Linked DNA regions of Lonchura striata. The protein of the gene in region 2 interacts with the protein of the main gene of each other region in a pairwise test. Links are inferred from orthologs where the notes say so. Each region holds a gene or a part of one and is shown on either strand. Other genes may lie near its edges.

What was found. The genes of interacting proteins can lie anywhere in the genome.
Region 1: the proteins of BRAP (region 2) and NUMA1 interact in a two-hybrid assay, tested with the Homo sapiens proteins (2 studies listed by BioGRID and IntAct). The link is inferred for Lonchura striata from reciprocal best matches to the Homo sapiens genes BRAP and NUMA1.

Annotation. Positions count from the first base shown.
Region 1 is NC_134604.1:4,289,104-4,292,847, reverse strand, and holds the start of NUMA1 (nuclear mitotic apparatus protein 1), read left to right. Parts: upstream 1-1,088; 5' UTR 1,089-1,281; intron 1,282-1,997; exon of another isoform or gene 1,998-2,169; intron 2,170-3,744. UniProt on the Homo sapiens protein: Microtubule (MT)-binding protein that plays a role in the formation and maintenance of the spindle poles and the alignement and the segregation of chromosomes during mitotic cell division.
Region 2 is NC_134620.1:11,776,116-11,779,859, forward strand, and holds the start of BRAP (BRCA1-associated protein), read left to right. Parts: upstream 1-744; 5' UTR 745-809; coding exon 810-891; intron 892-1,018; coding exon 1,019-1,177; intron 1,178-1,798; coding exon 1,799-2,000; intron 2,001-2,777; coding exon 2,778-2,967; intron 2,968-3,744. UniProt on the Homo sapiens protein: Negatively regulates MAP kinase activation by limiting the formation of Raf/MEK complexes probably by inactivation of the KSR1 scaffold protein.

The DNA.
Region 1 (3,744 bases), on a different chromosome or scaffold from region 2:
ACATTAGCTCTCCTATGTTCTGGGAATAGAATTTTCAGTGAGATTTATTTTGGACTGTGGTTTATGGGGTCATTAGAGAGTGGGCTTCAGTATGCATTATTAGCCCTTTATAATTGAGAACTCAAAGGGTCTCACTTTGGATTGCTGTCTAGAAGGTTGCAAGAAAGTGGGCTTTAGTCATAGTAGTTTTCCATCTTGGCCACAATTTAATTTGGTTGAAGGTTCAACAACAAAAATACTGTTCCACATTGGTTGTTACTCAGGCAAGAAAAATAAGTTTCCAAGTCTGTTCATTAAAAACCAGATGCTCGATAAACATCTGTTACTTCCTTGGAACAGATTATATCCAATAAGCTCAAGAGGGGCTTAGTCTGGGTGCTCTTTGTGAAGGCCAAAGCCTAACAAGCATTTCTCAGGTCTTGGTGGGGCCTGAGCAGTGGTGGGGACATTCGCCACCACAATCCAGTTCGTGACTGAACCTCTGTGGGCCTCTACAGGGTGAAATAGGGCTGTGGCCACGGGGACAAGCACAGGACCCCCCAAGTGAGACGAGGCCCCGGTAGCAGGTCAGGACAGGTTTGGGGGCTGATGAGGACCCCTGCCTAGCTGGCACTGCAGGGCAGAGTGGGGTGTCTGTGTGTGACACACCGCCAGAGTCCCCCCACGTGTCCCCTGACACACTGTGGCCTTCCAGTACTCCGTGTGGCCCCGCACAACCCCCTCTACGTGTCACACAACCTCCCCTCATGTGTCCTCACCTCTCACTGCGGGCTTCAGACCCACATCCCCCACACCCCCGTGGTCCCACCTGTCTTACTGTTACCTTCACGAGTGTCCCCAAGCAGCCCTGTAACCCACTCCCGACACCAGGGCTTCCGTCGCTTGGACTGTTGCATGTTGCATGTGTCCCCCAAGTAGCCCGCGAGGGTCCCGGTGGCCGGCAGAGCGCTGTCCCCCGCAGCCCAGCGCGAGTGCGGGACCCCGCGGTCCGCCCGCCGTGTGCCGCCCCCCGCCCGCCGGTGCCCAATGGGCAGCAGCGGGGGCGGGCGCTGCCGTTCGAATAAGAGCGGCCGCGGCACGGGCCCCGGCAGCTTCCAGAGCACCGCCAATATTGCTGGAGCCCCCAGGGCATCGTCAGTACTGCTGGAGCCCCCAGGGCATCGTCAGTACTGCTGGAGCCTCCAGGGCATCGTCAGTACTGCTGGAGCCTCCAGAGCATCGTCCGTACTGCTGGAGCCCCGGCGACGCCGGAGACGGACCAAATTCGCAGCCACGGTCACGGTACGGGGAAAGCTGAGGTCAATCGCCGGGCGGGCCCCGGTGGTTGCTCGGCGGGGGTGAATTCAGGGCCGCAGAGCGAGGCTGTGCCAGAGGCGGGCAAAGCGCGGAACCCTCGGGCGAGCGGGGCACGTCTGTGGCACAGCCTCCGTCTCGGGCCAAGCTCGGCGGCGTCCCCGTCCCTAAAGGCATTCGGCGACCGCGTTCCTCGCAAGTTCCTCTGCTGCCCCCAGCGCCGGTTCCAAAGAGCCTTCTCCTTGTGCCCTTCCTGGGCCGTGCTCGGGGCAGCCCCATCCCGCGGCCCTGAGCCTCCGCAGGCAGCCCAGGCACTGCGGCGATGACTTCCGAGAGTCTCCGGAACAGCAGCGTCCCTTCCTCGCCCGACTCCTCCCTCGTCTAGCTGGTGGCCCGTGGGGTCCGGTTCCCGTCGAATCCGCGCCCGCGGGGGTGTGTGCGTGTCGGGGGGAGTTTTCCAGGGGTCAGCTGGGATGTGAGTCCGGCCAGGTTAGAGGGAGACGCAGCATCGGGGGCTATTCTCTTTCCCGAGCCGCGCTGGGGCCGGGAGCGGGTCAGAGCCGGCCGCAGCGGCACAGCTCTCCGCCGCTGGCCGGGGCAGGGTGGCGGCAGCGAGCGCGGCCGGGGTCGGGCGCTCCCCCTCCGCACGGCGCGGCGCCGGAGGTTTCGGTGCCGTGCGCCTTTAACGAGCGCGGCCCGGCGCGGTGACGTGGGGTGGCGCAGGGCCAGGAAGGGGAACCGCCGCCTGCCAGCCCCGCCGAGAGAAGCTCAACAACTTTTCTTTTGTGCGTGGCCGCTGGCTCCCCGGCCCTTCCTGGCCTGCCAGCGCTCATGGCGGATTAACCCCAGCGCGCCGACGACGGCCGCGCGGCCCCGGTAAGGCCCCAACAAAGACTTTCTGCCTCTTCCTCGTTTTGTTTTCCACGGGGCTGGGGGGGAGCGGGGCGGGGGCGGCGAAGCTCAGCTCGCCCAGCTCCGCCGCCTCGCCGCAGCGTGCGGCTCCCGGCCCGGCGCCTCGGAGCCCCGAGGTGCGGGTCCGGGGCCGGGTCGGGCTCGCCAACATCCGGGCGCTCGGGTCGGCGGCTGCTCTGCCCCGCCGCCCCGCGCCGGCTGCGGGCCCGTCCGTGCCGGGGGCTGCCGTGGGTCGCTCACTCTGCCCGGGTGCTCCCCGCAGCCGGACCCCCGGCCTGGGACGGCCCTCGGGCGCGTCCCCCGGCGCGCTGGCACGTCGGGAGCTCCGGAGCGCGGGCTTGCGTAACGCCGTGTTGTGACCGGAGCGGCGCGGGGGAAGGGGGGAAGGACAATGCCGCCGCCGCCGCCGCCGCCTCCGGGGCTCGTTCCCCGGTCCCCGCCGCCCCCCTGCAGCTGCTCTCCTCGGGGATGCGGCTGGGAGGCGCTCACGGCCGCTGGCGGGCTCCCCGACCGCTTCCCGCCTGCCATCGCCAATGGCGCGTCCTCACCGAGGGTCATGGCGTTGTCTCAGATGCTCAGGGTGGCCAGTGTCACCAGGGACAAGCCAGGCTGTGACCGCGGCAGGAGCGGGTAGCCCTGCCCGCTGTGCAGATCTCACACCAGGAACCAGTGTGTTTGCAGGCTGGTTCTGGTAAAACCCAGCTCGACGCTGGTGGGACACAGTTTTTTCCGAGGGTCTGCATCCAGTGCTGCTCGAGTGCTGTGCCCTGTGCCTTTGGGTAGATTTTTAGGGAGAAGTTTTGTCTGTGCCACCGAGGGGAGGGACAGTAGTTGTTGAGTGACCCAGCCATGACACAGGGAGCTGGATTTTAGCCAGATTGGAGGGAGGACCTGTCCTGCTGAGGATCCCATGCTTCCCAGCTGGACCGACAGCAGTGGGAGCTCTGTACTCCCTAAAGCCACCGTGGCTGGTTGGCTGTGCTGTGCTGAGCAGCTGCAGATCCCGAGCAGTGTTCAGGTGCAATACCGGGTGAGGAGCTCCCTCCTCATCTAGGCGACTTTTTGGCTCCCAGCAGTTCCCTCCCCTGGAAGACTACCAGGGTGGCACTGGGGGCAGCCAGCGTGGAGGCAAAGGTCGCTGTGAAGGGGACCTGGCAGTGATCCCAGATCCTGTCAGGGCAGCTCATCCCTGCTCCCACCCAATGCAGTGATGCCCAGAGAGCTCCCTGTACCTCAGCAGGTGGTTTTTTCCAGTAGTAGCTGTGGGAAGGGGAGCTGGCAGCGCTTCAATGGCTCAGCCACTGCCTTGCTGGGCAAGAAATGTTAGTGACACTTGGAGGTGAGAGGGAGGGAAGAAGGCACAGCAGGAGAATGAGGAGCCCGAGCAGCAGTTTTCCACTGACCCCATGTCAGGATCCTAATCTGTGGGAGTAGACCTGGCTGCTGCTCAGCATTGCTTCCCACTCTGTGCCTGTGGGGAAGCAGGAGGATGCTGGCTGCTCCTGCACAGCTGGGATGTCCCAGATGCAGGGACACATC
Region 2 (3,744 bases):
AATCAGTGGTGGCAGCTCTGCTCCCAGGGAACAAGGGACACAACCAGGTGACAGGGCCTTGAGGCGTGCCAGGGGAGGTTCAGGTTGGACATCAGGAGGAATTCCTTCCTGGAAAGGGTGGTCAGGGATTGGAACTGCCCAGGGAGGTTTGGCATCCCCATCCCTGGAGGTGTCCAAGGAAGGCCTGGGCATGGCACCGGGTGCTCTGTGTTGGTGACAAGGTGGGGACGGGTCAGGGGCTGGACTCCATCATCCGGGGGTCCCTTCCCTCAGGACCGATGATCCCGGGGGTTTCTCCCCTCAGGGATCCAGGGGGGTCTCTCCCCTCAGGACGATGATCCCCGGGGTCTCTCCCCTCAGGACCGACGATCCCGGGGGTCCCTTCCCTCAGGACCGATGATCCAGGGGGGGTTTCTCCCCTCAGGACCGACGATCCCGGGGTCTCTCCCCTCAGGACGATGATCCCGGGGTCTCTCCCCTCAGGACCGACGATCCCGGGGGTCCCTTCCCTCAGGACCGACGATCCCCGGGGTTTCTCCCCCGTCAGGACCGATGATCCCCGGGGTTTCTCCCCTCAGGACCGACGATCCCGGGGTCTGCCCCCTCAGGCTCCCGCTCTCGCGAGAACGTACCTCGAACTCTCGCGAGAAGCAGCGGCCGCCCCTCGCAGCCCCCCGCGCGCTGCCGCCGCGGCCGTCGCCTGTCACGTCACGGAGCGGTGACGTCACGGGGTCAGAGGGGAAAGGTGCGGGAGGCGGAAGCGGCGCCGCTCCCGGTCCCGGTCCCGTCCCGGTGGCCCCGCGGAGCCCATGAGCGTGTCCCTGGTCGTGATCCGGCTGGAGCTGGCCGGGACCTCCCCGCTGCCCGCGGGCTTCGCCTACAGCGCGGCCGGTGGGTTCCCCCCGCCGGGGCCACGGGCGGGGCGCGGGGCAGCGCGGCCGGGCCCGCCCCGCACCGCGCAGCTGCCGGCGGGGCCGCGGCTCCGCGCCCCGTCCCAACGCCTGCTTTGTCCCCGCAGCTCCGGACATGGCAGCGGAGAGCAGCGGCGCGGCCCCCGCCGCCGTGCCCGCCTGCCTGCAGGGGAAGGGCCCCGGGGAGCGGGCGGCCATCCTGCACCAGCACCTGGGCCGCAGGGAGATGACCGACGTGATCATCGAGACCATCCAGCCGCGGGCAGGTACCGGCCGCGGGCACCGGGCGCGGTTCGGGCTCGCCGGTGGCGGCCCCGTGGTGGAGGAGAGTGTCCCGGTGCTGTCACCGGGCAGGCAGGGCGGGGAGCGCGGGTGATGTGGGGTTTGCGGGGCCGGAGCGGGCCCCGCAGTTTGGGAAACAAGCTGGGAAGTTCAGGGATGTGCGGGGGGCACAGCCCGGGCACTCCCGTGGGCACAGCCCGGGCACTCCCGTGGGCACAGCCCGGGCACTCCCGTGGGCACAGCCCGGGCATTCCCGTGGGCACAGCCCGGGCATTCCCGTGGGCACTGCCCGGGCACTCCCGTGGGCACTGCCCGCTGAGCTCATCCCGATCCGCAGCTCCTCCCGAGGGGCAGCCCCGAGCTCTGGGACAGGACCCAGGGAACGGCTGGGGCTGTGTCAGGGGATTGAGGTTGGAGATCAGGGAAAGGTTTTGGGCACTGCCCAGGGAATTGGGCACGGCCCTGAGGCTGCCAGAGCTCTGGGAGAGTTCGGCCAAAGCTCCAGGCTGGGATTGTTGGGGTGTCTGTGCAGGGCCAGGGGCTGCACTGGGTGATCCCGGTGCTCCCTTCCCCTCACTAAAGGGGAAATTTTGCCCTTGTGGAAGATGAAGCACAAGCTGCCATGGAGGGAAGAAAATCCTCGGAGGCTGCATCAGCTGAGGACAAAACTAAACAGGAGGATCAAAGCAAGGAGTGTGAGGCTGCTCCAGACTCGCCTTCCAAGCAGCTCCCAGACCAGATTTCCTTCTTCAGCGGGAACCCCTCGGTCGAAATCGTTCATGGAATTATGCACCTGTACAAAACAAAGTAAGAATTCCTGATTCATGCCAGCTCAGGTGGGAATGGGAGGGTGAGTTGGCCACCCTGGGGCTGTGGCTCCTGAGTTTGGACAAACAGGAAGGGTGACTCCTTCCTGGGAATGCAGAGAGTGGCTGGTGTTAATGGTGGGGCTTGGGGCTGTGGGTGACACCCGTGACAGCTGTGGGTGACACTGGGGGTGTTGAAGGTGAGAGTGTAAGACAAACACAGATAAAAAAAAAAAAAAAAAAAGACATTTGAAAGCAGCTTTCCAAGGGATCCCACAGCTACATAGTGATCTCTGGGGCCTTAGTCTGGGAGCTGTGTGAGGCAGGAGGTCTCATGCTGTATTCCAGGGATTCCAATTCCACACCACTCCCCTATAATTGTGTGAGATCTCCCATTTCAGGTCTTCCTGAAAGAAAGGAGACCAGAAGCCACCAAATGGACATTGGCAATAGTAACAAACATTGCTCAGTTGTTCTAGGAATAGTGCTGAGCATCTGGGGCTTGCCAACTTCAGCTGTTTTTGTAAAAAACAGGTGTCAAACTATTCCTGGCAAATCCCACTGTTCTTGGAGCTGCCCAGGCTCATCCTTGGCTAAAGGATGTCTGTTTGTGGTCACTCACTACATCCCCTTCTTCCTCCTCACCGATGACAAAAGAGGGTTGAAGTTTGACAGCAGAGTTGCTGTGACTGTGTGCCCAGCTGTGCATCCAGCTGTGTGTCCAGCTGTGCCCTGCCCCAGGAGGTGAGGCACAGCTGTGTCCCTGCTGTGTCCCCAGCAAGATGACGTCCCTGAAGGAGGACGTGCGACGCAGTGCCATGCTCTGCATCCTCACTGTCCCCGCCACCATGACCAGCCACGACCTCATGAAGTTTGTGGCCTCCTTCTACGAAGTGATTGAGCACATGAAGATCATCAGAGACTCCACCCCAAACCAGTACATGGTGCTCATCAAGTTCAGCTCCCAGGTAAGGTGCTTCCAGCATTGCTTGGCTGCAGGAATGTCACACCAAGTCACTGATCTGGAGGCTTGGGTGGCTTCACTGGGCAGCCCTGAGCCAGGCTTGCACTCACCCATGGAGAAACAGCCCTGTCCTCCTTCCCAGAGTGTTCCTGGGACTGCTGAGATAGTCCCACACCTGGAAGCAGTGGATGCCCTGTTCTGGCTGTCCTGTTCTTTTGGCAGGATATTTATTAAAAATCAGTCCACTTCCAGAGTTCTCTGCTATCTATCAGCTTGTTCAGAGTCTTGTGCTGTGCTGAACAGAAAACACACAGCCAGGGGAGCTCCCTTTGTTTTAAGAAAGGCTTTTCCTGCTTTTCTGAGGAGCTGGATGGTCTCACAGCCACTACCAGTGTGGAAAGAACAGAACCCCCCCAATCTGAGAGCCTGGGGGTGAATTGGTACCCAGATAACAGTTTGCTCTTCAGCCCCTTGACTGGACTTTAAATTCCCCCTCAGGTTCCTGTCCTTTCACTTGGACATTCTCTTCTCCCAGCTGCACATGATTTATTTTGGGGTTCAGGGGGAGGTTTCCCCCAGCTGTGAATTCTGCCTGAGAGATTTCCCCAAGCCCTTTGTGCAGATGGAGGATTTGTGTGAGTTTTGTGCTAATTGCAGTCGTTACAAAGATGGTTTTACATCTCTTGTTCCATTAAATTACTCAGAAATATTTAGTGCTAACCAGCCTTGCAGCAAATCCCTAAACTTTTGCTCAGTTTACCCTGAAATTCCTGTTTCTCAG